Linked DNA regions of Drosophila melanogaster. The protein of the gene in region 2 interacts with the protein of the main gene of each other region in a pairwise test. Each region holds a gene or a part of one and is shown on either strand. Other genes may lie near its edges. The genes, in order: CG18259, koi, by and RnrS.

Region 1 (6,423 bases), on a different chromosome or scaffold from region 2:
GCCAGGTGAGTGATATGCTTTAAAGATATCACGCAGTATTGTTCAACGTTCTCGGCCGTAGCTCTCGCACCGTGACCACAAACTCGTCTGGCGTGGAGGTGGACATCGATGCACTTCACTCGGTACTCTTCAGGGCCCGCTAGGAAGTGCGAGGCAGAGCCCGGGAACTACAGCAACTAGATAATTTTTTCTATTTAGTTCAACAACGTAATCCATTTTCATTTCGCGCTTATAAAATTCGAGTCGATCCATCCAGCGTATGTTTAGCAAACTAGACTAGTTTAAGTGAATTCTGCCATGTCTGTCCACTTTAGAATTTTGTGTTTAGTGAGTAAAATTTTTGTCTTATTATCATAGAAATTCAGCAGTCCCACTATAGACACAACAAAATGTATGGTATAGAAACTGATTTTACAATTGCTTGTATAATATTTCATAAAATGTACAGTTTTTAAATTTCATAAAATTAATTCATAATAATTAAAGAGAAAGGAGCAGTTTGGTAAGCAGTATATATAAAGTAACTTGGAGGTTCAGTGCTTCACGGAAGAGCTCAATGTCCAGCTCGGCCTCCACTCCCGCCTGAAGTTCCACGGCAAAATTCTGCAAAAGATTAGTGATGAGAGGATCTATTTCTGCCTCTGGGCTCTGGCATCTCTAGCTATTGGCTACTCACGTTGAGGACATCCTTGATCAGCGCCTTGTCCGTGGACATCTTGGCCCGCTGGATAACGCCCACCTCCTGCCCGATCCACGTCAGGAAGATGAACTTTTTGTGCTTGGACATCTCGTCACCCATCTGGTTGCGTATGTAGCCAGCTGGATCCCCTAATCGGTCTTCGGACCTGACCACGGCTCTCCAGAACAACGACCTGAAGTGCATACTCACCAGGATGAATGGCAAGATAAACTTGCTGCTATCCGCATTTGAGACTTAACCGACATAACCGTCACAAGAGAGACCAAGAGCCTAGTTTCTGAACATTCAGCCCTTAACAAGATGATAGAGTTGTACGAAGGGGTCACTAGCGAGCACCGCTTGACGAGCATTGCTACCCAGACTAAAGTACAAAAGCCTACCAAAAACGCTTCTCACAATGCGCAGGTGTCCAAGGGACAAGTGCCCAAAGTTCTGGCGCTCAAACCGCACGACTGGTAGAGGAGAAGGGAAGGCGACATCCAGATCAAACGAGTCCAATACAGGCAGCTACGCATCTGTCGCCAAGAATGCTAGCACGAGTGCATATTGGACCAAGGTGAAGCCTATGCGCCCGCGTAAAAAGCCTGAGGCACGGATCGTGAAGAAGACGGGTGAGGCTTGGTACGCAGAGATGCTCCGGAAACTAAGATCGGACCCGAGCCTTAGCGAACTGGGCAGAAGAATTCGGAGAACTCAGCTAGATGAGCTGTTGCTCGAAGTAGTGGGAAAAGCCTCGGGAAGCTTTCCCAAGTATAAAAGCGATCTAGAGGCGACGGTCAATGATTTGGCATCTGTGCGGCAGCTCAAAGAATAGCACTATCCTGCAGTGGACTGGACGAGGATACGATAGTAGAGGAGCATCAACAGGCCCTTGGGAGTAGAGCTGCACTGTTTTGCAGACGATGCGGCAATTACAGCAGTCGCCAAAACAATTGCAGAGTTGCAGGACAAATGTAACACCACGATTGGAGCTGCCGTCCACTGGAAAGCCGGGCTAGCAATAGCGGCTCGCAAGACCGAAGCAGTAAGTACTAAGCAGCAGGAAAAAGGTGGAGAATATGCTAGTCCTCTGTCAATGCGACACAGGTGACCTCCCAAGAGTCCCTCAAGTACCTGGGTGCTATGATAGAACCACGCGAGTTACGGCAGCAAGAATGCATCAGTCACAGTTTCTTCATTGGCTAGACTGGTGCCCAACATCGGTGGTCCAAGCTATCTGGCCAGGAAACTGGCTTCGCTGCTGTACGCTGCACCAATCTGTAGCAATGCTACAAGCAGGGGTTCATACCTGAAAGGAGCCATGGCCCTCAGGCTCATTAGAGGATTCAGGACAATATGTGAAGACGCGGCACTAACTCTGGCAGGCCGCCAATTGATCGGAGATCAAGGCTCTCGGCCTAAAGCGGGGTGGCGCTTACCGACGAGTGGCTGTTGGGTGAGTGGCAGAACAGGTGGTCTTACCAGCTCATTCCTGAGTCGGCGGTTTGGGCAGAGTGCCAACACAAATGCTTGGACTACCACCTAACCCAGTTTCACACGGACCATGGCTGCATTCGGGCCTATCTACGTCGATTGTTCTGCGTCATTTGTGAGAAAACAGAAGAGCATGTGCTAATGCACTGCTCCAGGTTTGCGATGGAGAGGGAGCAGCTAAAGACGAAGTCAGGTGCTCCGTTCAGCCCTAGTGGCTTGTTCGCAGCTATATTGGCAAAGAGCGAGGCATGGGAGCTGGGACACAGTCTAATCATTAAAATGATTAAACGTGTCCGATCAGACGAGATGGCCAACAGAGAAGGTGGCTAAACCCGAACAGGTGTCCTGTGTGGTGGCGAGTGAAGAATACTACCTGAGCGTTCCCGGCTTGTCGTAAAAAGCGACTAAAGGGTGAAAAGAGGCGCACTCATGGCCTACACTGAAGGAAGAGAGTGTGAAGCCAAATTCTGTTCATCGAAGTCATACAATGGCAGTCCCGGTGAGCGTTCAAGGACTGAAGAGCACACGGAGGTTTTTGTTTTAGTATGTGGTGTTGTTTTTGTTGTTGCGCAGGTATCAGTGTTACCAGACCAGACGTCGGCTAGCACCTAAGCGCGATTGTTCTCGGTTGTGCGAAGGGGCACACTGTGAATTAGTGACTCGTAATGTCAGTGGATAAAACGTATTATGTAGCTTAATATATCATTGACAGTTCTGAGAATTTTCAATCTTCTACAAACTAATGTTAAGACATGCAAAAATTGTTTTTGTAAATGAACAAGTAGTTTAATAGTATTAATCGTATATTTGTATAAGTGTTAGTATATTGCTGTTTCTTTTTTACATTTTATATCCAGAATAACATAGATGTTTTTAAGCGATAGTTGCTATCGATAGTGCTGGACGATAGTTTGCCACCCCAAGTGTCACCAGTGAAACGCCAGTCCTATTTTTTTTTTACGAACGTAGTTCGAATAGTCAGGATAATTTGAATCTGGTTGTTTTTACTTCACACATAGCTTAGGAAAAGGTGTGAAAAGCGTATACTGTGAGCCATGGACATCGATTTGAGTCTGGACGAGATTATAGAGCGGAAGCGCGGGCAACGCGGCTATCGTCCCCTCGACAGAAAGTTGTAAGTACATTTACAGGACAGCCGAAAAAATAGAATGTCACTCAATGCGTTTTCCATTGCAGCAATGCGAACTTCTCCAAGCCGCGCCAGCTGCTGAACAAGCCTTTTTTCAAGCCATCGGGTGCCCGAGGATCTCACTCTGATACGCCGGCAAAGCGCACCTTCGATGCCAGAAACACGATCGCCGCGAAGACACGGGCCAAGATAGCCGATGCCCGGGATCTGATCAACAAGAGCGTGCGCGACTCGGGCATCGATGCCCGCCAGCTGTTGCTGGAGCGAAAGAAGGCCCGTTCGGCGGGCCCAATACTTATTGATGACGAAGAAGAGTCGTTTGAGCCATCACATCGCGCACGCGGAAAGGGAGTGCACATCGGTCAGTTTGGTCACCGCCTTAGCATGTCAAACCATGCGGACGGCACCATTCAGGCGAAATGGGACTCGGACGACGGGGTCGTTGAACTGGGTAACCACATGTTGTCCGGCTTGCGTCGAACCTTTGACCCCAGATCCCATAAGCCGGGCAAACCCTTTGCTCCACGACGCTATATTGATCTTGATAATATGCAGGACCTCGAGGATGGTTAGTTAGTGCCTTTCTCTGCCAAGCCGTTCCTAAAAAGCACTCTTCTACTTTCAGAGGAAATATCTCGCACACTGCACTTAGGGCAAATGAAGCAAGCGTCGCCACGCTACTCAATTGGTGGGCTCGACCTGAACCGCGGCGACGACGTGGAGATGTCCATGGCCCCACTAAATAACAAAATAGATAACAATGCATTCTCCATTTACGAGGCGGCCCGCAATCGCATTGAGCGTCCTTCGCTGACCAACCGACTCGTAGTTGGACGCTCAAATACCACCAAGGAGCCTCTCGAGCGCCGCCACCGCGACACAGCAAGCACAAGTAAACTCCCAGAATCGCTGCGGTCTCGTCTGTTTGTCGGTAAGAGGGATCCTCACATTTCTCATGGCATCTACGCCAACGAGAACCGGAGAAAGGCTGTTGGTGGCGGTGGTGCTAGGGATAGCGATAGCGGTACTGATAGTGATGGTGATGCAGCTGCTCCATCGAAGAACAAGCGCCGTTCGCCATCCCCATTGTCGCTGCGTACGTCGAACACAAAGGATGGATACCGCCTGCTGGTGAGCAATCTGCATACTAACGTGACTACTGCGGATATTCGCGAGCTTTTTAGCGACATCGGCCCAGTGTACGACGCTCGTGTGGTGCGTCCCGGCACCGCCGAAGTTATTTACAAGTCACTGGAACATGCCGAGAAGGCCGTAGATACCTATCACCATCGTCAGTTCGATGACCAGCCCATGCACTGTGTGCTGGTTAATCCGCACTCCTCCCGTCGCTCGGTGCACAAAGCCAGGTGAGTGATATGCTTTAAAGATACCAAGCAGTATTGTTCAACGTTCTCGGCCGTAGCTCTCGCACCGTGACCACAAACTCGTCTGGCGTGGAGGTGGACATCGATGCACTTCACTCGGTACTCTTCAGGGTCCGCTAGGAAGCGAGAGGCAGAGCCCGGGAACTAAAGCAACTAGATAATTTTTCTCATCATTTTCATCATCTCCGTAGTATTTAGTTCAACAACGTAGTCCATTTTCATTTCGCGCTTATTAAATTCGAATCGATCCATCCAGCGTATGTTCAGAAAACCAGACTAGTTTAAACGAGAACATTTCTTTACTATAGAAACTTGAATTTTCTAATGCAAATTCTGGCATATCTGTCCACTTCAGTATTCAGTATTAGGTGGCTAAAATTTTTGTCTTATCATCAAAGTAATTCATCAGTCCCACTATATACACAATTAAATGTATGGCATTGATAATGATTTTGCATCCGCTCTTGAAATTTGGTATTGAAAACTTTTCTTTTACCTTTTTTGAATGACACTATGGATTATGATTATACGATAAATAAGAGGACCCAGTAATGTTACAATTGCTTGTATAATATTTCATAAAATGTACAGTTTTTAAATTTCATAAAATTAATTCATAATAATTAAAGAGAAAGGAGCAGTTTGGTAAGCAGTTAAGAGTTGCAAAAAAAAATGTATATGTAAAGTAACTTGGAGGCCGCTTAGTTATCCCGGATGCCCGTTCCGTAGTTGGCGCCGCCGGCACGGTTCAGTGCTTCACGGAAGAGCTCAATGTCCAGCTCGGCCTCCACTCCCGCCTGAAGTTCCACGGCAAAATTCTGCAAGAGATTAGAGATGAGAGGATCTATTTCTGCCTCTGGGCTCTGGCATCTCTAGCTATTGGCTACTCACGTTGAGGACATCCTTGATCAGCGCCTTGTCCGTGGACATCTTGGCCCTCTGGATGACGCCCACCTCCTGCCCGATCCACGTCAGGAAGATGAACTTTTTGCGCTTGGACATCTCGTCACCCATCTGGATGCGTATGTAGCCAAAGGCGCGCTCCGAGTCGCCGAACTGCTGTCGGAATTCCTCAAAGCACTGACCGCGCGCATGTACAATAATCTGGGCGCCATCGAACTTGAATACCGCCCACTCGGTGTCTGTCAGATCGGAGCGTACATCCTCGTAGGCCTCGCGAATCGAGTCCTTCTCCAGCGACGTGGCCAGCGGCATCTGCGAAAGAGCAAGGGGGAAGAGGATTATAAGCAAGCGAAGAGGGGAACTATAAGCAACTTTCAGACGGAAGTATATATCTTAATCATGTATTCCAAGTCCGAATCGTTTCGCCAAGGCGAATGGATCATCCGCTTTGGCCCATCGATAGCGAAATGTATTGTATGTACTCAATGCGGGGCCAAGTACTCTTGACGGCGCCATCTATGAGTCAGATTTAAGCGGTGCTTTCGCTTTCGATGGTTATATTACATTCAATTCGACTTGTTTCCGTGTCAGGCAACCTCAAGTCGGCCAGGGGAATAGGCACGCCATTGCATCGCCCACTTGCATTACGTTCGGGCAGATTCACGGAAAGCAATTTGTTGCCGCTTTAGTGCTTTATAAACATAATACCAGCGGGCCAGCGGAAAAGTAGCCAATGTAAATATGTACATATTTCGAAGAAAAAATAAAGGCTTTATTATGATAACATACTGGAACATACCCGCATATTAAAT
Region 2 (9,309 bases):
CCATCACATCAGCTCTGTTTGAGACAGTCAGCTGGCTTTAATTAAGTGCATACCTTCGCTGACGCTTGAAGATGAAATCCTTTGACTTGCCAGCGCCAGGAATTTGCTGGCACAACAAATTAAAAGACAATTTGCATTAACCCCAGACGAAATGACACATCCGTGCGGAGTCAACAGTTGCAAAGGTATTTTCATATTAAATTACCGAAGACGAGTCTGCCTGAAACAGAAATGCACTTAATATATTCATCAGGTTGGAGCACAAGTCCTGCATCATCATTTATACCAAATCGGCTTAACAATAACATGGAAATCGTTAGCAAATTATAAGCAACTGCAGTCAAGAGTAAAATGCGTCATTATGCAATTAAATCCGATTTAAATGGACATTTTCTACACACTATCTAAATGTATTGTAGATAGCAAAGGATACAAGCAAATGATTTTGAACTGAGCATCCTTTTTTCCCAATCCTTCGCTGGCGTCCAGAAATAACTAATTACAGAAGCCGGATAGCAAAGGTTAATTACTTCCCATGGCTTTGACAGCCATTTTTTCGCCTGCCTTTTGATTAAGAAAACGTTTTTTCACAGCAATGTGTTTATTGTTAAAAATGGTGAAAAACCTTAATGAACGCAGGAAGTAGATACAAACTTAGCCAATTAAGTAAACTTATAGAAACAAGAGAAAACTATATTTTTAATTATCAACTATTTTTGGGTTCACTCTTTAGACATATTACGTATACGACAAGTAAGGAAAACTTGAAATAGATTGTTTCATTGGGAGGGATGCAGGCAGCTTTTATTCGATCGAGTTATTCAGTGAGTTTCAATTTTATTTGTCACTATTTTAGAGGTGTGAATTCAAATCGCTATCGCATTTATAAGGAATTTGCAAGTTTTCATGGTAAAACATTTTAGCTTAGATATAGCTTAAACTATACATTTCCAGCAAGTGTGTGGCTTAGACAAACTATGACTATTACCTTCAAAACGCTTTTAAACATGGCAAACATGGTAAAAGATATGCAAGTTATCCAACCCGAAAACATAGCACCCTACCCCAGTTTATAAACAAATTTCACATTTCAATCTCGGCGGCATTTCCTTTGTCTTTGTTTTTGTCATTGCCTTTGCCAGCACTTAGGTACCCGATAAGATAGATAACAAAACTTAAAGTAAACACAGCTTCCGCTTGGAGACCAGGCCATGATCAACTTCTCGTCTCAATCAGCATAAAGCTTTGATTCTAAACATAATTGAACGTTAAAGAAGTTTCTAAAGAAAAGCTTCTGGCCGAGGAAGATTGGATTAGGATAAAGTTAGAAGATCAGTCTGATTCAGGACAAGATCATTTTTTTGACGCCGAGATTGGAATTTGAAATTTGTTTATAAACTGGGGTATAGTGCTACGTTTACGGGTTGGAAACTTGCATACGTAAGTAGAGTAGACTTAAAGGAACGATGATTGATTTCAGGGAAATAACTAAATACTAATAAATATTATAGTACTTATAGGGACTCTAGTCCTGACTTAAATAATATGCTATGTACAAGTTAACCTTAATGTGATTTAAACACTTCAAATCTACGATATGATACAAAACACTTACAATCTATATAGCCTTACTTTTTACATAGTTCGCATTGTTGAAAGCGGCTGGGCTCCGTTGATCCACATCTCGCAGTGATATATTGTTTAGTTTCCTTTTTAAGGCACAGACATTATGTACACCTGGCAGTACTTAGGTCACTAGAAGAGATTTGAACAGATTTATGTGGCCGGCGGCTTGCCGTGCACGCGAAACCGGTAGAGGCATGTATAGGTGGGATGGCCATGGTTCGTCTCGATCCGCAGTTCGACGATCTCGTACGGCCGTTTGATGTCCAGGTTTTGAACGGCAAAGTACTGGAGGGAAGCACCATTGTCCTCAAACTGGTAATCGCCGAACAATACGGGTTCCTGGTCCTTCTCCTGCTCCAAGCCCTGAGTTGATGGATAAGTCGTATTAGAAATGCACCACTTCCTTTCACCCTTAGTCAAACTTACCCAGACAGTGAAGTTGCGAGGAGCTGATTCTATTCTTCCTGTGGGGGATAGACTCTTCGGTATGTGCTCTAGGGTGAATCCAGTGACGTACACCAACGAGTTGAGCTTTAGCACTGTGGGAAGAAAACTATAAGGACTGTTTTAGCAATTACTATTTACCCGCGACTTGCCTAGAAATCCGGGAAACCCTTGGAATGCCCAGCATTCCCCTGGCTGCACATTGGGTGAAATGGCGACCCGCGGCGTGTTGGTGGGATACCAGAGTGGAATTCCAAACACCGATATCTGGGCTGACTTTGTCTGGTAGCTCTCAGTGCAACGCGTGGAAAGGATTTGGCCGCCCGCCGACTCCAGGGCGAAGTCCACCAGGCCCGTCTTGTCGGCATCGTAAATAGCTAGCACCGTCTTGACTATCTGGCGCACCTCCTCTTCGCGGATATGGCCCTTCAACGCTTTGGTGCTCTCGTTATGCTTGGCCTCCACAACCAGAAGAATCTCCCGTTTGAGTCGTTGGCTAATGTCGCTCATCAGCAGGATGCTCGAACGCTCAATCTCGTCGCGAATGTTGTTATTGGTGCGCTTGTTCAGCTCTAGCAGCTGCTGCTCCAGGTAGTCCTTGGCCACAAACATGCTGCGTACCCAGGTCTGCAGATCGAAGTCATCCAATTGGCCAGCGGAACCGCCAGCGGTGGATTGCTTAAAGCCCAGAATTTCGACAAGGGATAGCTTGATCTGCTTGTTGAGAAGAGCAAACTGCGAGTCGTTAAGCGCAGACAGTTTGTTTTCTATTTCAGCCAGCAACCCGTGGAAGCGCCTATCCTGGGAAAGTTCGTGCTGCTGTATGCGTTCCAGCAAATCCTCTTGGCCGAGCTTCAGATTGCTGATTGATTGGTGCAGATCGGCGTTCTCCGCTTGCTTGTCAGAGAGAGCCAACTTAATGAAGGCGATTTCCCTGTTCAGACGCTCAATTTGGACTTCTGCATCTGAGGAACCGGAACTCTCCTTTGGCTCGAGCTCTCCCACCCGAAGACTTATTCGAGCATCTACAAAGTCTGCCAATGCTGGCGCAGCAAGAATACGCTCCAGCAGGGATGCAAAGTCTATCCTGTCCAATTGAATGGTGTAGTGCGATTCGTGGAGGTGAACCTCTGCTTTAATTAGCTTGGTTATCTCCTCTAAGTTAGCTTGTGATAGTTTCGCTCCATCTTGCCAACCGCCTGAGCTTTGCAGCTCCAGTTTCAGTTTTATGGCCAGATCAGACAAATCCTTTTCGCTTAGCTCCGTTTTGTACATAATCTGCTTGAGGTTTTCCTTCATCAGCTTAACAAAGAGTTCAATCTGTTGCGGTGCGAGCTCCTTGGAATGCTGCTGCATTTTCAGCTCGACCAACTGCTGCACGTAGCTGTTTACATGGTTTAAGATATTTTCGTATTCCTCGGCAGTCAAGGCTTTCTGGATGTTCTGTTCAATGCTGGCCATGTTTACCTTAATGGCCTCGGCTTCCCGCTGGGGACTCCTGACGGTGGGCACTTCCATCCAACTTTTCAAGGTGGCTCCAGCATTTGAAAATCGACTACGTAGGGAGCCGAAAATAGATAGTGGCAGCGGCAACAGTGCTTCCGCACGCTGAACGTAAGCACTACGTTGATCCTCCTGCAAGAGCAACCATCCTGGGGAAGGAGAAAATTAAACATAGCACTATTAGTTGGCAATCCTTCTACATTTACAGTCCCTACCAACTTCAATTATCAACCGGACTGAGGTAACAGGGAACTCGTTTTTGGGGTTATTCCAACACAAATGCAGAAGGATAGAGTTCGATTCTGGCCAACTAATATTGCTTTGTTTACATCTTACTTACCATTTAGCGAACTTCCAACAAATGGCAAATAAAACAAACAACTCTTCTTTGTACTTGATGTTTCATATGAAATTGTTTGCGATTTATTTTTGTATAGACTATTACAAAGCAAACAGTGCACAAATTACAATTAAACGTTGTTTAACAACAAGTAAGATTTAGTTAGGGCACTAACCCAGACGGATAACGGCCCTAATTGTTGGACAAGAATGAAGTTAACGATTACGAAAGTTTTACAATTTGAACAGCGGCGAGCTCTATCCTTCTCCCATCAGCCTGTGATGTTGCATTTTGTTGGGAATTGTGTCGGTTAGTATGGTGGGGTATGAGAGGTGGGTTTGCCTATGAAGTGGGTAAATGACGGGACGAAAAACTATAAAGTAAGTGCGCAAAACTGCGGGTCAAGCAGACGGACAAAAAACGGATCAAATGCTTTATTTTGTACTCATATTGTTCATAAAGAAAGTTTCTCATATTTGTCTAAGTGCAAGGGGCGTTGCACCCAACCAGATCACTAAATCTGGTAGCTGTAGCCTGCCCATTGCAGATGTTCCCTACACACGCTCATAATAGACTTTATCATCGCCCTGAAATAACTGACGACCCTTGTTGACCACGTTCTGACCGATGGTTCTCAAGTACAAAACGTAGTCGTCGGCCCAATCGCGAACGCGGACCGCATGCTCGGCGGCCTGAGAGCGTAGCGATTCGAACTGCTCCTGGTTCAGGTAGTCTTTCACATCGATTTTGGGCAACTCAGGTAGGGTGAATGTGTATTCGGACAGGGATTTGGGTGGGAAAGTTTCATTGGGGTGTATGTAATAGAACAGACCTGCAAAGGCAAAGCAAATTAGGCGTTTAACCTTGGCAGACGGTGAATGGAAAATAAAATATGTCATCACATGGCCACTTAAATCTGATCCGCGGGATTTTACTAACAAATTATCGATGGCGTCACGCGACTGCCAACGACCAGACGAGTTTATAAATACAACGACTGGAGGTGATCTATATGCATGTAGTATGAATTCTCGAACCGGTACAAGGTCACGGCACACGCTCTAACATATTTTACTTTACATCAAAAATCGGACGGTGCTTTAAATCCTACTCACCCGACAGCAGCAGCAAGGGCAACAAAATCAGCAGAAATATGAGGAAGCGCTTTTTCGACTTGTTTTCCGCATCCGAGGATCGCAGCAACCACGTGTCCAAACTCAGCACCGATCCGATGAAAACATACAGGTAGCGCAGCAAACTTGCAAGTCCTCCTCCGATGGTCTGTACTATTTTCCACCAAAGTCCAACTTGTTGACTCTGCTGGCGCTTAGCGTGGTAGTTTTGATAGGCAGTCGTCTCCGTGGCCGAGAGATTGGTCACCCGACTCCACACGGTGGTAATGCTGCTAACAACCAGTTGGATGAGGCGGATAAGCCACCAGCTCTGCTTTTGCTGCCCAAATGTGGCGTCCAGTTCATCTGCGGAGTCATAGTTAACCTGCTGGGTATACTTGGACTGGTAGCGGCGGCGGATGAACTCCTCTTGCGCAGGGTTCTGCTGGACCATGTAGTTGACTCGATCGTTATGGTTCTCTAGGCTCTTTCTGGACATATTGGGCATGGCCACAATTCCTGGCGCCAACTGGCGTCGGTGAGGGGACAGTTCTGAGTAGGTATAGTCCGTCTTGGGAGTTTTGCTGCAAAATAGCATCATTAGTATACTGTTTAAAATGTGTAGAAATGATTCACTCACTTCCAGTATTCACCAGCATCCCTGTACTCGATGTAGGCCAGATAATCGCTGACATTTCCCGAGCTGAGGTTACCGTTCGATTGGTTTAGCTTTTCCTGGGCGGAATTCAGCGTGTTTTGTGTGGTCTCCAGCTGGCTTCTGTTCCGCGGTGTCGATGTGGCGCCGCCGGATCGCTTGGTGAGAATCGACGTGACTGTGGCCGTGATCGAGTTCTGTTTGCGTTTGGCATCCGGAGTCATGTCGTCGCTCGAATAGTCCGAGGTCAGCTGGGCGAACGCTTTTGCCCGGGTTTTCTTACTGATACTCGACTCCACTATATGCTCCTCTATTATCGTTCTGCAGAGAAGAGGTAAGATTTGGGAAAAATATTTCAGTAAGTCCGTGATAACGTGCTCGGAATCGTTTGAAACGACGAGTACAACGTATCAAAACAAAAACACAAAAATATGCTTATAACCGCCGCTGGCCTTCAGCGCAAACGACTGTTAGCCCACCCCAGCATGCTCGATTTAGAGGCTAAAACGTGAAAACGATTTCTGACGGCCGACGTTGGACTCCGAATGTCGTCATCGAGTCTTGAAGACTGATCATCAGACCGACCAGGCGCTCTCGAAATAGGCGCCAAAAACTAACGAAGCTCGACCAGATGCTGCACCCTGTATGCGGCTTTGCCTTCGTTTTCTACCCGCTTCGAAATTCAAATTCGCGGCGAGCGTGAATAACAAAAAGGTGACGTCATGGCGGCAGCACACGGCATACAAACATACAGTCGCTATGGATGTGTCTTACTACAGTCCAACTTGCTTACTGAAACCAATGGTCAGTATAGAAAAAGGTGACTCAGGACCAAATAGGAAATAATTATAGAGTTTAAACTGAATTCTCCTAATTCTCAAAATGAAATTGACTCGAACTCCGTAAACATATTGTATGCTTACAATTTTACTACTTATAAGGGCTAAAAATAATGTTATGGGTTCGCGATAAAGGGCTTCGTCCGTAGGCCTATTTCGGGAGTATCCCAGATACTTACTGCACATTGGGGGCCGCCGATTTCCTTTTGAGGTGGTGCACATGCCCCTCCTCTCCGGCGTGCTCACAGTTCTCATGGTCGCAGCTCGATCTCAGGAAGGGGGTCTTGGAACGCGACCGCCGACGCGTTTCTATCTGGTATGTATTTTCGCTCATGATTAGATTCCCTCCAGTGCTCGGGCCCTGCGAAGACACAAATAATTAACATGGGCAACGATTTATTTGGAGTAAACATTAAAACCAGTCTGTGTGTGTGTGCGTGTGCGTGTGTGTGCGTGCTAGGCGTGGGTTGTTTACAATTGGGCAGCTGGAAAACATTCGGTCTCTTCACTTCAATGCTCGAGTGCTTTCCGAAGCGAGCTTTCCCCGCCACATTAATGCCGCATTATGCAATGCAATGCGTGTGGAAATGAGCGCAGTGCCCGGTTTTTAATTAGAATGCATTGGGGAGGTAGGTAAGTAGGCAGGCCGCAAAGACCGCGTCTAAAAATAGGGCGGAGCATTTCGGATCGCGAATTGCTGCCAGTGACCGTGGGGATCCATTGGTGTTGGGCCACATAGCCGAAAACGACGCCCGCCCGGCCTTTCGCGCACAGATATCGGACTCCAGGGAGCGGGGTAGGGATGTAGACGCTACAGGGTGCTCCGGCGGACCACGCCATCCACAAACAACGCGCGATAATCAATACAATGGCTTACTGCCCAAAATGAGTTCGCAGCACAGGCGCAAATATTCGTTGATTCCGTGATTCGGTGAAATGGAAACCCAAACAAGTTTTCCACAGCTGCGTCATAGCGTACATATATGTACATATGTATGTACGTGAATGTAAAAATGAGGCACGCACGCACACAAACAAAAACTCCGCACAGTGCTTTCGGCAGTTTGCCCGCAAATATGTGACATACTTAGTAATATTTCTTGTACTGCCGTACTAATGAATTCCTCCGTTGAATAGCTGGATATGAATTTTGTTTGCAAGCGCCGCGACCGTTTTAAAAATAGCCTCCACCGTCACGACGGCAAAATCACGTCTATTCCGAGCGGCGAAAAAATTCGAATGAACGGGGAAGACACATCGATTATTCTAGCAATCATCGATGTTTCGCCGCCTATCGATTGTTCACATGGATTATTAAAGGGAACGTTGAGAAACGGAATTTGTTTTCATTAACCAAGAGAAATAATGGGTCAAGAATAAAAAATTTAATTTTTACACTTTTATCTTTTGTTCAACAAAGAAAAATAATTTGAATGAGGTGTGCAAATATGCAAACATACATTATTTTTCTATTAACGCCGAAACATTCGACTTCTGGCTTGATAACTAAGAAGAAGACTGAAATTTAAATATAAATTTGTTAACAAATATTATCGTTTTACAAGGATGTGATAGATTTGCGTCATGACAAGCAATTGAGCTTTCTAAGTATACTTTCAGACTTCTGATATCTTTAACTTCGACTTTCTATATGATTGTTATTTAAACATATTTAAAATTAAATAAAATATCGATAGCATTGCGGACAATTAGCGATCCCTCAAACCACTCGGTATTCGGTAAAGGGTATTTGACAACCCTAAGCAATAATACCACAACAAATCAAGAATTTATTGTTGTGATTTGTCTAGCAAAGCCATAAAATATGATAGAAATAACGTGTAACGATCGTCTTGGCAAGAAGGTAAGCAGCTAAGTACCCAAGGCAACTGCAAGCATCGTTAACCAACGATTAACCCACAGGTGCGCGTCAAGTGCAACCCGGACGACACGATTGGGGACCTCAAGAAACTAATCGCGGCACAAACGGGCACAAAGCACGAGAAGATTGTCCTGAAGAAGTGGTACACAATCTTCAAGGACCCGATTCGCCTATCTGACTGTAAGCCCTTGTTTAGTGTCCTTGTAACGCCTTGCTTTACCCGCATTTCTTTTTCGCTTTCTTAGATGAAATTCACGATGGCATGAATCTGGAACTTTACTACCAATAAAACTGCAAGGGAATACCGTTCCTGTGTCTAGTTTGTCCAATTTTTATAGCTTCTTTAATAAATAAAAAGATTTTGAATAATATATATTATTCGTTTTGGTTATGTTCTGATTCTTAAGGTCAATTTGTAATAGTGAAGATATATATTTTTGAGTAAGCTGTATTAAGCCCTTGGTTATCGGACTTCCCTTGACAATAACAAAATACATAGTTAGATTGATGAATTACAATTACAATTAATATTGTAATTTGCGTTTAATGCGCCCCTACGACTACGCCCCTGTAAAATTGGTATTATTTACAGCGTATGTTGCGGCGTTGCCAGATCGCATCAAAGGCTTCCAGAGAAAGAACAACAAATATTGAAAACAGCGCATTCAAGATTCCGTCGAAAATGTCAATGATTCCATTCTTTCCCACGCTCAAAGTCTCCGTGGCCAATCGCTACTGGTTGGACATGGCTCCTGCCTCCGTAAACGAAGAATCGCAGACGCGGCGTTATGAGGATGAAAGGAGCAACTGGGTGAGTTCTCTCCAGACACCGCTTTCTGTATAAATTGTTATAAACTTAAACCGTACAGCGAGAGTCCCTTAAGACGGCCGGCACAGATCTGCAGCCG
Region 3 (8,750 bases), on a different chromosome or scaffold from region 2:
TTTTAAATGTGACTATTATTTTACATTTTTGTAGACAAGAACCGAGACACTCTTCTAGTAATTGTAAATCAGTTAACCATAGTATTAAACAAACGTTTTTCAGTGGCATTGTAACGGTGAGCGGGCGTTTTTAATGTTAATTGCATTAATTTCTATTTTCGGTTTTGTATTAACTCGCAAAATTTCAATAAAATTCAATGAACGTCAATAAAAAAAGTTATGTGTTTTTTTCCTTTGGTGCTTGAAAAACTAAAGCATTACGACCAATTATTTGGAACACAATAATTTGTGCATGTGCTAAATTATCAGCATCTGGAAGTTTCAGAACAATATTGGCCAGTATATTGCCAAACAAGTTTTAGAACAAAGCCAAAAATAAGACGCAAACTTCTGACAGGAAATGACACAACCCACATAGTTATAAATATATTTCAATGTTATTAAACAAAGGTAATGAATAATTCAACTTTAACTGAATGAGATCACAGATCTATATAGTTCACCAAGCCCATTCATGCGAGTGTAAGCCACATTACATGTACGCATTCGATCCAAAAGTTCGTTTCCGAGCCTTGGAAAGGATCCCCTTGAGATGCATATGACAGTCCAATCTCCAAACTTGATTAAGCGTTGGAAACTTTCGAGTGGGAAGCGAAACGACCACTTGATGCGGACATTCGCATCAATTGAATCGAATGCGTATGTTGCACACCCGAAAACCACACTCAAACTATCAGTAATAGTCCATGCGATAGCTTTCCATCGTTTTGGCCAAAATTAGATGGCCAGATGGGCCCGCAATCCCCGGTTGTCACAGCATATGGCTCTGATTGACATTACCGAAATTCCACATGACTTTGTTTCAACAGATTTGCGGCAGAAAGAGTTAACAACAACAGATGTTCGCAGCGAAAAGCTGCAAGACAAAAAGCGAAAAAAAAAATACGAAAAAGGTAAACGAGTTGCCAACTAGGGACGCAACTAAGGCCAACGAAAGAGAGCGGCGACAGGTCACCGGAGAGCGAAAGAGAGGCGGTGGGGTCTGCCCCACGCGAGTGAGCAAGCGAGAGAGCAACTTGTTTATTTGCCACCCACAACTGGCTGCTGAAAGAACAACAACAACAACAGCCATGGCAAGGAGCAGATGAAGAAGAAGATCACCTCTGCTGGCATTGACAGAGGATTTGTGCAGTTATTTCTCATACTTTATTTTTTTAAGCGCATATTTTCGCTGAATTTGATTTGTTTTCTTTATGCCATGTTGCTGTTGCTCCACTGACGTCACTTAACTGTTGGGGTTTCAATTATAATGCCTTAGCCATTGTTGTTATATTCGTTGTTGTTGTTTCGTTTGCCCACCACGACACTTTCTACAAGAAAATGTTGAGAAATCAAAAAAAGATGCGACAGCTTCTTCTCTATGGGTTCCACTGAAAGAAAAATGTAAATGGTGGAAAACATACTTCAGTTTCCACAGTAAGAGTAATAACTAATTAGGGTTTTCTAGAATAATCATCAAAATACATAAGTCTGAAAGACATTTAAATTGTTTACTGTAGTCTCTTATTAAATTTACCAATATTTTTTTCAAGTGTACGTTTGTGGCCTCTCGCTTGATGGTGTATGTGTAATAGCCACAAAAGTTCATTGGGAAAGTGCAACCTGAACCTGCTGGAACACAAGACCGCAATTGATTGATAAAGAAAACCCCATTTAAGTGGCATAAACAAAGTTCGTTTGTTTCACTCAGCGGAAAGCAAATGAAGCTCATTTAAAGAAAAATAGGCAATTTAATTGATGAAAACGCCAAGAATTCAATGGAAGAACGTGCCCGAAGTTACAGTGGGTGCCATCGGCGAATTACCATTTCAAAAAGCCCCCCAATTGAGGTTTCTTGTTACGTGAGAGAGACGGAGAGAGGTGTCCAAGAGGGAGCGATCTTCCACAGCTGTTATCAATTGCACTCCAATAGGATCGCTTCACACGTTGGTCTCCAATTGGGACTGCAATGTGCGGGTTCTTTGATCAAAATTCGCGTCCAACGTGCACGGATCGAACTTTACGGGGCTCCTAATCTGTATAGGCTTCGATTGCTTGTTTTGATTAGTTCGTGCGTTTGGCTGGGGCTCTCCTTCGTGTGTATTCGTCAATAAGTGGGGATGACATCACCGACGCTCCACTCTCTTCGACTCGCGTTCTCCACATCGCATCTCTCTCCCTGTCTCCGCTATGTGCACTCTCTCATGGAACGATCTCTCTTGGCATCCAACACCTTTTGGCGTGTACTTGTGAGCATTGGAGGCACAGTGGGCGTGGGATTATTAAATAAATACCCGATGACAGTTCTATTTATAAAGCTGTTCTTTCACTTTCGCAATATCTCTGGATTTGGTTGATACAGTTTTTGGTGTCACCAAAAATCGAAATTTACAAGTAACCAATATTGCAATTTTGTGAAATATATTGATAATGTAGTTTTAATACTTGTTATAAATGATTACAATTACTGTAAAGTTTTTTTCTATCGTACGATCGAACAAGGTCAAATGTTGCTCATACGCACTTTTGCCACAAATCTGTCAAAAATATTACCCATACGCCAGGTTGGTCGCACTATTAAAAGTTCATAATTAGAAATGTTTACCTAAAAGATGGGTTGACGAGGGCCTAGCCCACTGTGCCCACTCATGGCGAACCAGAAACTGACTTGAGGAGGTTGACTTGCTGCTTGACTTGCCACGCGAGAGAGAGGTAGAGAGAGAGAGCGGAACGCCAACGCCGACTCTACGGTTTGAGTTGTATCTTCTCGACCTTTTTTTTTGAATCAGTCTTTTGGAATTCGCGAAACAATGCGGACGCCGTACGAAGAAAGCGCTGCTGCCGCCGACCACAAATATCAATACCAATACACCGCGGCCAATAATAACAATAATTACTATAAAAACTATAATGTGAATGGCAATGGGCAGGCGAATGGAAATGGGAATCTAAGTGGAATTGGTAATGGAAATGGAATTGGAAACGGCAATGGATATGGAATACCTTATCACGCGCGCGAGAACTCGCTGCCATTTAGCTATGGCATAGCCAAAACTTCGACACCGTTGCGAAAAACTCCGACACCGACGCGAGTGGATAGTTTTCTAGACTTTGATTTCGGGCCAACGAATACGAATGTGAATTCGAATAGTTCTAGCAATAATGGCGGTACTGGCGATATGATAAAGCCACCAACACGTCTAACGAGCCCTTTGCTGGTGCGCAAAACGCTGGGCAATGCCGTTAGTCCCACCAGTTCGACCAATACCAACACCATAGCCAATACATACCACTACACGTCGAGCAGCGCAACGCCGACGCCGGTGAGAGATAATTTCGAGCAGCTGCTGCGGGAGCGACGCGAAAAGGTCTACAATGAATATAGGAATCTGGATAGGGAGTCGTCCGGGGAGCGGGCCAGAGTGGCACCCGCTCCGCCGCAGAGGCAATACTACCCGAGCGATGGCTATGGAATTGGGCTGAAGAACGATAGCAATGGAACCCTATACCGCAAGAGCCCCTCGTCTAATGGGAAATCAACGAAATACAACTACGATTTTGAGTTCAATCTGAATCTGGATGATGTTAGGCCCGAACCTACACCGTATACCACGAGGAATATTCACTTCGAGGATCTGCGGCTGGATCAGGATGTGCCAGATGGCGTGGTCAATCGGCGGACCATGGAACGCAATTATCACACAATTAACAGCTTGGAAACGACCCACAAACGCCAGCAGTTGGAGCCGTTGGAGCAACTGGGCGCCGTTTATGGCCAGAACCACATGGAGGAGACACTCACGCGCACTCGTCGCGATCTCTCCGCATCCACATCGACATCCAAGTCCACCTCGCCATTGCCGGCAATAGGAGTACCAGCTATAGCACCAGCTTCGCCCATTTATGCCACCAGTACGAAGAGAGTGAGCAACCCAAATACCAATGGCCAACAGCAGATGACGCCTAGTCCCACCAGTAGGCCAGAAACGCCCGCCTTTCCGGTCACGCCGCGCACGCCTTTTGGGGCATCATCATCATCATCTGCGTCTCTGGCGCCGACGACCCAGTTGCCCCCAGAGTCGATCTACCAAACAGGGCCACGTCGTGGCGTACCGCCTGCACTGCAGCCACTCGAGGTGTCCGCCGATTCCGTACAATTTGCCCGTAGTTCGTCCCAGTTCTGGTACAAACCAAATCTCACTCGCGAAGATGCCATCGCTCTGCTGGCCTCTGCCCAGCCGGGCACGTTCCTGGTCAGGGACTCCACCACGTACAAGGATTCCTATGGCCTGGTGGTGCGGGTGTCCCAACCGCCTCCCGGTTCACAGGAGCTGGTGCGTCACTTCCTCATCGAGCCCACGAAGGGGGGAGTGCATCTGAAGGGCTGCGATGACGAGCCGGTGTTCACTTCACTGTCCGCCCTCGTCTTCGAGCATTCCATAAGCCAGCTGGCGTTGCCATGTCTCCTCCGTCTGCCCGATCGGGATATAGTACCACCGGTGCGGGCCACAACCCCTGCCCAGCAGCATCTATTGGCCCACGGAGCAGCCACCAATGTGCTGTGGCTCTACTCCTGCGACACGGAATCGCTGACAGGAAACGAGGCCATCCGCAAGGCCATCCGCCAGATGTACGGTCAGCAACCCTTGCCGCAGCCCACGGAGGTGCACTTCAAGGTCTCCTCGCAGGGCATCACGCTCACGGACAATACGCGCAAGAAGTTCTTCCGGAAGCACTACAAGGCGGATGTTATCTCGCACTGTGCCATCGATCCGGAGAACAGGATGTGGACCAGTGAGGGCGAGTCTGACAAGAAGACCATCTTCGCCTTCGTGGCCAGGAGGTCGCACAGCTCCACGGACAACCAGTGCCATGTGTTCTGCGACCTGTCCGTCAGCCAGCCGGCGGCGGCGATTGTCTCGTTCGCCAATCGGACACTGCCCACCGAAAAGCTGCGCAACTACGTCCTGTAGGAGGGAGGGGGCGTGGCACGGGTCAACAGGTCAGCAGGCTGGATTCCACTTCCATCCGTGGAGTGGAATGGCGCACAAGCAGGTGAGACGCATGACGGGTGCAGTTTTGTTATGGGTCGTAAATTAGAGTACATTTTGGGTGCGGTTCGGCCTTGGGAGGCGAAATTGACAATTACAGTAGTCCTTCGAGAGGGTGAGCTTAGTCGCGAAATTTAAAACAAACAAATATTCTTTAGACTCCAAATTTCAAATTCTATATTCATTTTTCTAAAGGTCAAACAAAATTGGTCGTAAAAACGTTTTAAAAAGTACTTTCTAGAAACGATTTCTTTCCGGCATTTGTTTGTTTTAAGCATCGTATTTGTATTTGTCTGAAACAAATTGTTTCTCCGTGGTTTGGTTGAGACATTCTTATTTTTAGAGACTTTCCCTTGTTGTTTGTTTTAAAATAGATATTAGTTGTGCTTGCGGAACAATAATTTTGGCTATATCTCACTGCCCTTTTTCAAATTTTTGTGGGCCTCAAGCAATGTCCAGAGAAACTTTCAATATTTGCCTTGCCAAGCTGTCACTGTATCATCATCGTTCTGCGCTACAAATGGGAAACCTATTAAAAACGCTTCACTTTCTGGGGCCCTTCCGTTCGCCTGGGTTCGTCTTCAAATTGTTTACTTTACATAACGCCCTGGCTGTTTGTTTGTTTGTTTAGCGGTTTCCATATACTGCCGTAGCACACATATAGATATATATAGCTATATGTACATACATACATACGAATCCAAGAGCGCCATGTAGAAGCATTTGGCTAACATATCTTCTGGCTACACGTTTTTCGCAACGGAAGTTTCTGTCATGAGTCAGTTGCCTATAAATGATTGAGTTTCGAATTTAGAATCGAACAGAATCAAAGACATCCAACACATGCACATCCATTGCAGGGTCGCCACGTTCTGGAGGAGTGGCACCAGCCCAATTTTGGTATTTCTTTCGATTTGATTAATTCCCCCTGCTTCGTTCACGGTCATGTGCTGAGGTCGCCAGATAAGGCCATAGCGCTTAACTGTGCATTGCCATGCTATGGAGGCAACTTTTCATTAGTTGGCATTTGTGTATATATTCGCTATCAGGCCGCCAGGTGATCCACTATGCTATAATAATAGCGTCGAACAGTTGGCTGCAAATTGTGGGGCCTAAAATAAGATCTGCCCACAGAAGATATAGAGTTTATAGTTATTGCTGTTCTGCCCTGTTCAGCTTGGTTCTGTTGTTTATTTAGCTCTAAAGATACATCGTTTTTTGAATCACTTGATAAGAGCGAGAGACTCGTTGTTGATCTTGCTGGGAATTATTCTCCAACGATCGTTCGATTCCACCTTGAATTTTTTCGGAATTTTTTCACTTGAGCCTTAAAGCGGAATATGCAAATAAACAGACGGCAATAGAAATCGGTTTTCGGTCTCAATATAGCGCAAAAGTTGAAATAAATTCAGGCGAACCGAACCGGCGGGCGTCAATTGCGCATTTTAGAAAAACCGCATGCCGAACACTCAAAACATAATTCCAGGCACGTTTGCGTTTATTTTTTTCAATTATTCCACTACCGACGACGAGGTTCAGTAAAAAGTTACTGTAAATAAAACGGGAGGTTTAAAAATGGTCTAAAAGAGATTTAATATTTAAAAGAGCACTCCAACTTTTCATCAGACCCCCATTGTTTGCTCGATCAAATGATCTATTTGATCCGCAATTAAGCAATTATCCACGAGCGTGTACAATATAGATACAACCATATGTAGATACGATTGGTGGGGATTGGAATTTACGAACTTGTTTAAATCGGATTTCTTCTTTCATCTCTTGCAGGCCAGTGGAATCGGAATCATGCGGAATTATGCGGAGGAGGAGCCCAGTGCTGCAAGATGTACTAACTAATCACTTTACGAAATTGTGTCTTGCGATATAATGAGCTTAACTGCGAATATGTTAACAGGAATGATGTCAGCCGTAGTTTATTTAGACACGCACACACTCAGAAGTCGGCGATATTTATGGCGAAGCTAAAACATATGTACACATGGGTACTATCAACTTGAATTGACTAAATGCACAGTGGGACAAGTGGATGGCCGAGTTCGATAAGATTGGTAACTATTGGAAACGCCACTGATTCATATTTGTTTATATGCCCAAGTTGTAAACAAAGCCATGAAGATTGTGTTAAAATTTTTGGAAATTCCAACTGGCATTTCAAGGAATCTCGTACCACTGTGCTGGGTGGCGAATTGAAACTGATCACCGAAAGTTGACTGTTTATTAGCAAAAACAGTATGGATGTGTATATATGGGCGAGTTGTGTGTTTTTATATAGGGTGCGCTTGTCAGACAAACGGAATTAAACTAATCTACCACATAATTTTAAACCGATTAATGTTAGTTTAGAAAGTTGTTAAATAAAACCCAAAAGTACAAGCCAGAGAGCTTGTTCCCTAATTTATACCAGTAATATCTATATAAATATATGTATGTATATGCTTAAGCACTACTAATGCAGTCAATATAAATAAAGTGCAATGTTGTTAAACAGATTAGAAACCTTTTATTAATCTAACTCCTTAAACTGACTTGCGAAAAGCTCAGCGCCCAGCATCTGTTAATAATTTGTTATCTAACTAAAAATACAGCAGCGACTGCGTTCTAGATTTCAGGGCTGTTAATTTTATATATCAACAGACATCAGTGTTGTTGGGTCGGTTGGGTTGCTTTTGTTAAACAATTAATGGGTTCTGTACCCGCGGGCAATGGCAATATACAATATGCATTTGTATGAACACAATTGTTTAGTAATTTAATCTTATCGTTCGCCAGCGTCGGCGATCTCTATACGCTCAGCTAACCATAGGAAGTGTAAAGTATTTTTTGTACTCCTCCTGTCAGTCACCCTTGCATCCATTGGATTCGCATATTGCCGGAGATTCCAACAGATTCAAGATATAGGTAGTCTCCTGCCTCCTAATGGACGAGTGCAATTTGTGTTTTTTTTGTATTTTAAAAGGCAGCCCACCAGTCAAGTGTGCCAAGTGAAATGAAAACGCGTCCGTCGACTCGACCTTGAGATCAATTTGTGGCGGCGGCATGACGTCATCGCCTTTCGATGGTAGCACAACGACAGCTGCCCCACGATTTTAAAAACATTTCTTACAGAAATTTACAAATTAAATTTTAGGCTAATGCTCCCCAGCGAGATCTGTGCACCCACATTTTAATGATTTTGATTTCAGCATTTCATTTCATTTAATTTCTTGTTCTATTTTCAACGGCCTGCTAATTTCCTATATGTACATATGTATGTATTTATGTGTTCGCCTTGCCAGGCGCCCCAAAGAGACCGAAACCAGTTTGTCATGTTCTTTGCCTAAATTCGATAATTAATTGATCGCCGGAGAAACGAGAGTCGCTGAAAACGACGACAAACTCCGGTTGCATGAGCACCGCCCCGAGGTGTCGCCTTATCCAGACCAGATGATGCCCGGTGACGAAAGCAATATCCATCGAGATTCCAAGAGCCAAGACGCAGTGCAGGTTTTGTATCTTACATTTAATACATTTGGATTTGGTTGTGTGTACAAAAGTGAACATAAAATTAACGTTCGGTGTGTTGTTTTTAGATATCTACATAGCTACATACAATATCGTTCGTTTACATCATATTCAGTTAAACATAATAAATACACTTTAATA
Region 4 (6,123 bases), 5.2 Mb from region 2:
GGGCGAAGCTGAAGAGCGGGTGGTGGTGTCGATTGATCTTAGCTTTTTGTGCACACAACCCAGTGATGTACACGTCCTCCAGATAGACCAGCGTCGTATTAAGCGAAGCCTCGAACAAGCGCTGCACTACATCGATGGACATGAGATAGCCGGCTCCGGAAAGATACTTTGGATACGACTCCGGCTTATACATGTATGAGGGCATGTACCACTTGCTGCTTACTTCGCTAACCGGCACCACGTTGCAAAACTGATGGCCGTACAACACATCGCTGCTGGCTTTCAATCGGGTTTGCGGTGCAGTGACTAAATAGGTGGACCGGTCGTGGTAATCTAGGGTATCATTGTACAACGGTATAGTTCCTCCGAGCAGAAAGTTCAGCAAATTGGGTATATTTACGAAGGTATCGTCGTCGCACTTGAGGAAGTAGACCGCGGTATTAAAGCAACTGCGGCTAATGTGCTTTAGAGCCATCACAGACTTAAGCGTCAGGTTGTTGTAGCTATCCACGAAGTTCTCCTGAATGATGTCGTTGTACTTTTCCGATTCAATGTGAATGCGATTCAGGGTCTCATTGCCCAACATGGCCTCATCTTTCTGGCGGCCTACAATGAAAACAATGCGCACTGAGGCAGTCAGAGACTGCCCCTCGCCGCTCAAATAATCCCCGTACATCTTTAAGCGATCCGGCAGTGGCGGCAGGTAGTGACCCTTGAGATGACCATGGAGCTTTCCAAACGCTGGGTAGTTGAACTCGGTGGTATTGCCCCAGGTCTCACGGATGGTATGTCGCTGAATGAAGTTGTCCACGCCGGTGCATACGGCGATTACCAGGAAGGTCTTATTCCGGCAAAAGTCCTTGGGAACAATGACGCCAGAACTGAGCCCGATATCCAGGTAGTCAGCTATGCTGCGGGAGGTCTCTGACGTCCAATCCGGCAGACCAGCTGTGAAAGCGTCAATGGATCATTTTTAAAATAAATGCGGGTATCAAGAAAACCATTGTCCTACCACTACGCTTGTGTACATCCAAGTAGACGAGCGGCAGGTAGACGAGGAGCAGCCCACAGATTAGGAAGGCGCTCAGCGTGTAGCAGCCAAGGCGTCTTAACATCCTGGGAAGCGGCATGCGATTTCTTAGCTGCCGCTTCCTCAGCTTTGCTTTGCTGCGTAGCGCTCCACTAGTGGTGACCGTCTCGTCCTCGGATCCGGAAGCAGCTGCTCCCGAGCTGGAGGAATATTCCGCTGCCAAGAGGGAGCTCTGCTCCTCGATTTTTTCTGGATTCCACCTTCTGTCCATGTGACTGGATTCACTTATCGCCACTGGTCCTCCGCCTACAATTTAATGCACTGTTCGCATTTTATCAACTATTAGGGCGCCTAGCTGAATTGGGTTGATTTAATCGCCCACTCCTGTTATTGACATCTAATACTTTTTATGGTAATAACTGAATAACAAGAATTTTATCCAAATTGATAAAAACAGCGAATGGGATTGTTCAGCACAGCTGATAGTAAAAATGCCCGTGACTATCGATAAGTTTACCTACCATATATATAACTGAAATCGAAAATTTGAAATTCGAATTATTTAAATTCTTAAATTTTCCCAATCCTTTTTATAAATTTTTTTGAAATTGATTTTCTTATTATATAATCGTGCATAAACAGTAATTTTTGAAGATTTTTTTCAGAATAATTAAAACTCAATTTTACTTGTAGTGCTTAATAATTGTCTATGTATAAATTTATTTAAAATGTTGTATGTACAATGAATTCGGAAAAGGTACGCTCCTCGTAAAAGTCAAGTGTGTAGATAGTATTATAAACGTAATTGGAGGTCCAAGTAAATGATTAGGTGAATGTGTTGAAGGTCTGTGATTGTTCTTAGCCTATGTTAAAATTAAAACGGACTACATATAATTGCCGTCAGATTAAAATATAAAGGATGAGAAGCCAGCCCTTGAGAGGTTTAAATTGCAACAATGATGTCCGGGGCCAGCCCTAGAAATCCGCGTCCAGGGTGAACACGTTGTCCAGGGGGTTGCTGACCACTCCCATGCGCTGGTACTCCCCCACCTTCTTCTCAAAAAAGTTGGTCTTTCCATCCAGCGATATCATCTCCATGAAGTTAAAGGGGTTTTTGGTGTTGTAGATCTTTCCAACGCCCAACTCCACGAGCAAACGGTCCGCTACGAACTCAATGTACTGGGACATCAGGTCGCAATTCATGCCAATCAAATTGACGGGCAGGGCATCGGTAAGGAACTCCTGCTCAATGGCCACCGCGTCGCGGATGATCTCGATGATGCGCTCGCGCTTGGGTCGCTGCACCAGGTGTTGGAACATCAGCACGGCAAAGTCGCAGTGCAAGCCCTCGTCGCGAGAGATAAGCTCGTTGGAGAAGGTCAATCCAGGCATCAGACCTCGCTTCTTAAGCCAGAAAATGGAAGCGAAGCTGCCGCTGAAGAAGATGCCCTCCACGGCGGCAAAGGCGATGATGCGTTCCCCGAAGTTGGCCGATTTGGAGGAGATCCAGGACAGGGCCCAGTCTGCCTTGCGCTTCACAGCCGGCATCGTTTCGATAGCGTTAAACAGGTACTCTCGCTGGTGTGGATCACGGATGTAAGTGTCGATCAAAACACTGTACATCTCCGAGTGCACGTTCTCCATGGCGATCTGAAAGCCGTAGAAGCAACGTGCCTCCGTGATCTGCACCTCCTGACTGAAGCGCTCCACCAGGTTCTCGTTTACGATGCCGTCGGAGGCGGCGAAGAAGGCAAGCACGTGCGAGATGAAATGGCGCTCGTCGTCCTTCAGGCGGTGCCAATCAGTAAGGTCCTTGGACAAATCCACCTCCTCGACAGTCCAGAAAGAAGCCTCAGCCTGCACATTAAAAAAAAAAGTTACAATTTTAAAAGAGATAATTACTGTATAAATTTATTATTTTTCATTTTCCACTTTAACAAGTTTTCAAGAAATGTCATCGTGCACAACGAGCTTATCAATTAAAATGCAATTAAAATGTAAACAAAGTTACTACAAAGCAATTAAAAGCGGCGGGGAAATGTAATTGGCTACATAAAATGGTATAGTATGTGATCGTTATGTGCTGCATTTCCCGCCAAAAACGAAGGCTATTGTTGACATTGAGTAAACCGTGATGCAGTGAATCAGCGGAAAGGGAGGGTCGAGAAATGTGGGAGGGGGTTGTTTAACCAAACGAAGCTATCATAAAGTCTGATTCGTGTAATCAACCACGTTGAGTACGTGACCGGCTTTTGGCGCGCTTTATCTCGAAATGCCCGCCCTTTTGATATTTTGCCGCCCAAAAAATAGATTTTCACCACCAATGCAAATGGACAGTGTTTTGCTATATGTATGGTATACACACCTTCTTGTACATCTGCCAGATGTCGTGGTACTGGATGGGAAAGATGACGAAGCGTCGGGGATTCTCGCGCAGAAGGGGCTCCAGCGACGGGTCGAAGGGGGTTACGGACTTCTCCATGAGGGAATTGGCAGACTTGCCGATGCCATTCACGGTGGAGGACTCCTTGGCCAACTGTCCGTTTGCCTCGTGTCCAATGGACATCTTGCGAACGTTGTTGGTGCTATCCGTCAGAATCTTCTTGCTCGGGCTCTGTTAACAACGAAAAACAAAGAAGGCCAACTAAAGCATGAGTATTTTTCCGCTGCGTAGCACTTTTCCCTAGGGAAATCAACACAAGCGCACTGATCGCGGTATTACGTCTATGTATAGCTGTGAACTTTATTTGCGTGTCGATTACCTTAAGCGAGAACTTCTCCATGTTGTCAGCAATGTTTTCCTTGGACGCCATTTGAGATGTTTTTGAATGGATTATTATTAGCAGGTAGGGGCGCTTCTCTGATTCTCTGGTAAAATTCACTTAAACCACGACGTGTATTAAGTGTACAGTTTGAAAGTTGTGTGGCAAATGATCTGGGAAATACAGCTACATTGGGTTTTATGCCGGGCGGCAAACTGTTTCGATTTGCCGCCATTTTTGGTGATGGGAAAACTATGGGAAAATCAGGGCTGTCGAGTGCGTCAATTCACTTTTTATAAATTTAGGGTAAATCTAATGCAATTATGGGGTGGTAGTTTTCTTTTCTTAAACCATAAATCGAATCCTTACTGCACAATTTTATGTTTAGCTTCCCAGCTTGTCACTTGAAAAATATTAATATTAATAGTTTCAAATACTAAATAAATTTTGAAATTTTTTTATCATCGATATTTCATGCAATGAGACAACCCTAGACTAATCCAGAAAACAGCTGATGAAACGCCACTTAATTAGTTTTGAGTGAAAAAATTTGGTCCTCTTGCTACAATTAGATAAAAAATCAAGGTGAAACAAAGTTAAAATTTTTTTCCAAGGACATTGACTTAAAATTAATTTTTTTTTTGGAAATCTCGAATTATTTGGAAATGCAACAGGTGCTAACATACTCAATTCAACAACTTTGAATGAATTCCATTACAGCGAATCATGTAAATAACAGTACAATAACATAACAGCTGGCTGTTGATATTTATCGATAAGTACGTTTAATCGTGGACTTGAAAATAATAATAAACAAATCCGTTTAGTTGTAGTTTTGTTTTTAATATCCTGAATATGGAAGCCTCTTCTTCTGAACACCACAAACGTCTGGAATACTGCACTACAAGATTGAAATACCGTCAGGGCCGCGAATTGAAAGCTGTCAAGGTGGGGAAATAGTAATGTTTAGTAGTAATAGTTTAGTAATAGCTTTATAGTAATAGCAATGTTTTATTGTACTTTTATTGTGTTTTTTATCCTTTGTAGGTTTATACAGTTGCTAGTGAGTCCCGTCATTTGCTGATCTTTGGGGTACCTAAAATAAATCTTCAAGCTAATCTCAGGACGAAACTACAAGGATTTGGTAAAGTGCAATCATGTATTTCGGTAACTTCAGAGATGGCTTCAAAAAGTATGATTATCCCTGTTCAAGATCTTTTTTATATAGTGTTCCTTTTGTTTCAGTGGATCTGGAAGCTTTTACAGATGTGTTTGCCGTGAAGTTCGAGCGCCTTGAGGTGGCGAGAAGAGCCAAGAAAATGCTCGATGCTCATCAGTTCTATGGTGGAATCTTGCACATATCATACGCTCCAGAACGAGAATCCCTTGAGGAACTTAGGGAGAAGATTCAGCAGCGCAGGCACGAAGTAGCTTTTCGTATTCGAAGAAATCAGAAGGATCAAACACAAGTTCCAAAAAAGAGCCGGGAAACCACATGAGTACAGGATGTCAACGATTTATTCAACTTAACTGATTTCAATGAACTTCTAAGGCAGAACGATGTCACTCTTATTGACACAGCGTAGTGCTACTCGCTACCGCTCTATTGCCTCAGCTCCCCGTCCGTTCACTTGGCGAATCCCCAAGCCTCCTGTACTATTTCTGCTTCGTCCGGCGCAGGTCATGGTAGTAATTCAGTAGACCAATGCGCTTTGCCCATATCTGTGCCCCATACGTGGCCCAAAAGCTGTAAATTACCGTAGGATTAATAAGACAACCTGTGATGGTATAAACATACACGCCAAACTTACATGCCAAACATGGCGCCGCCCAAATGCGCTGCGTGATCGAAGAACTTCCAGCCCATCACGACGCCAGCAAAGTCGATGCCCATTAGCACTTTAATACCAGCTCCAGCGGAGAATGTCAACGCGGGTAGAAAGAGAATGCTAAGTTGTGTGTCCGGATACTGGGTGCATACATAGGCCAGCAGTGTCATTATAGCTCCAGACTAAGGGAAGAGCTTTAAGTTTATAGATACTACGTGGAATAAAGGCTGTCTTACCGCACCCAGGGACATCCCCGCCTGACTCGTGGCCGCCTTGTAGAGCACGCTCATCAGACTGGAGAAGACGCCGGCGCTGAGGTAGACCGCTAAGAATTGCTCTTTACCCAACGATACAGCCGCAGCGTTGGCAAAGCTGTGCATCACGTACATATTGGCGAAAAGGTGCATAGCCGAGTAATGGCTGAATGTGGACAGGAACATGGGCCAGCAGACGACTTCTGCGAGAAGGGTATCAAACACAATTAGTTAGGGGGGTTGTAAAA

The links.
Region 1: the proteins of koi (region 2) and CG18259 interact in a two-hybrid assay, tested with the Drosophila melanogaster proteins (one large-scale study listed by BioGRID).
Region 3: the proteins of koi (region 2) and by interact in a two-hybrid assay, tested with the Drosophila melanogaster proteins (one large-scale study listed by BioGRID).
Region 4: the proteins of koi (region 2) and RnrS interact in a two-hybrid assay, tested with the Drosophila melanogaster proteins (one large-scale study listed by BioGRID).

The regions. Positions count from the first base shown.
Region 1 is NC_004354.4:18,780,181-18,786,603, reverse strand, and holds CG18259 (uncharacterized protein), read left to right. Parts: upstream 1-3,109; 5' UTR 3,110-3,228; coding exon 3,229-3,308; intron 3,309-3,370; coding exon 3,371-3,891; intron 3,892-3,948; coding exon 3,949-4,690; intron 4,691-4,746; coding exon 4,747-4,828; 3' UTR 4,829-5,339; downstream 5,340-6,423. Other genes in the region: CG6961 (uncharacterized protein), read left to right, coding at 1-5, 62-143; CG6891 (uncharacterized protein), read right to left, coding at 5,410-5,526, 5,600-5,923.
Region 2 is NT_033778.4:6,809,473-6,818,781, reverse strand, and holds koi (klaroid), read right to left. Parts: upstream 7,764-9,309; 5' UTR 7,607-7,763; intron 6,995-7,606; exon of another isoform or gene 6,881-6,994; 5' UTR 6,854-6,880; coding exon 6,699-6,853; intron 6,251-6,698; exon of another isoform or gene 6,088-6,250; intron 6,002-6,087; coding exon 5,666-6,001; intron 5,610-5,665; coding exon 5,029-5,609; intron 4,746-5,028; coding exon of another isoform or gene 4,468-4,745; exon of another isoform or gene 3,970-4,467; intron 3,723-3,969; coding exon 2,223-3,722; intron 2,166-2,222; coding exon 2,053-2,165; intron 1,990-2,052; coding exon 1,777-1,989; 3' UTR 583-1,776; downstream 1-582. Other genes in the region: ubl (ubiquitin like), read left to right, coding at 8,345-8,383, 8,443-8,581, 8,647-8,690; CG15237 (uncharacterized protein), read left to right, coding at 9,084-9,212, 9,271-9,309. UniProt on the Drosophila melanogaster protein: Component of the LINC (LInker of Nucleoskeleton and Cytoskeleton) complex involved in the connection between the nuclear lamina and the cytoskeleton. Is required to nuclear migration in eye and to anchor klar in the nuclear membrane.
Region 3 is NT_033777.3:9,527,084-9,535,833, reverse strand, and holds by (blistery), read left to right. Parts: upstream 1-2,822; 5' UTR 2,823-2,849; coding exon 2,850-5,012; 3' UTR 5,013-5,094; exon of another isoform or gene 5,095-6,875; 3' UTR 6,876-7,596; downstream 7,597-8,750.
Region 4 is NT_033778.4:11,981,424-11,987,546, forward strand, and holds RnrS (ribonucleoside diphosphate reductase small subunit), read right to left. Parts: upstream 3,971-6,123; 5' UTR 3,844-3,970; coding exon 3,793-3,843; intron 3,645-3,792; coding exon 3,396-3,644; intron 2,888-3,395; coding exon 2,006-2,887; 3' UTR 1,722-2,005; downstream 1-1,721. Other genes in the region: GalT1 (beta1,3-galactosyltransferase 1), read right to left, coding at 1-948, 1,013-1,301; CG34231 (uncharacterized protein), read left to right, coding at 4,648-4,740, 4,840-4,984, 5,038-5,291; rho-7 (rhomboid-7), read right to left, coding at 5,449-5,539, 5,604-5,803, 5,858-6,078. UniProt on the Drosophila melanogaster protein: Provides the precursors necessary for DNA synthesis. Catalyzes the biosynthesis of deoxyribonucleotides from the corresponding ribonucleotides.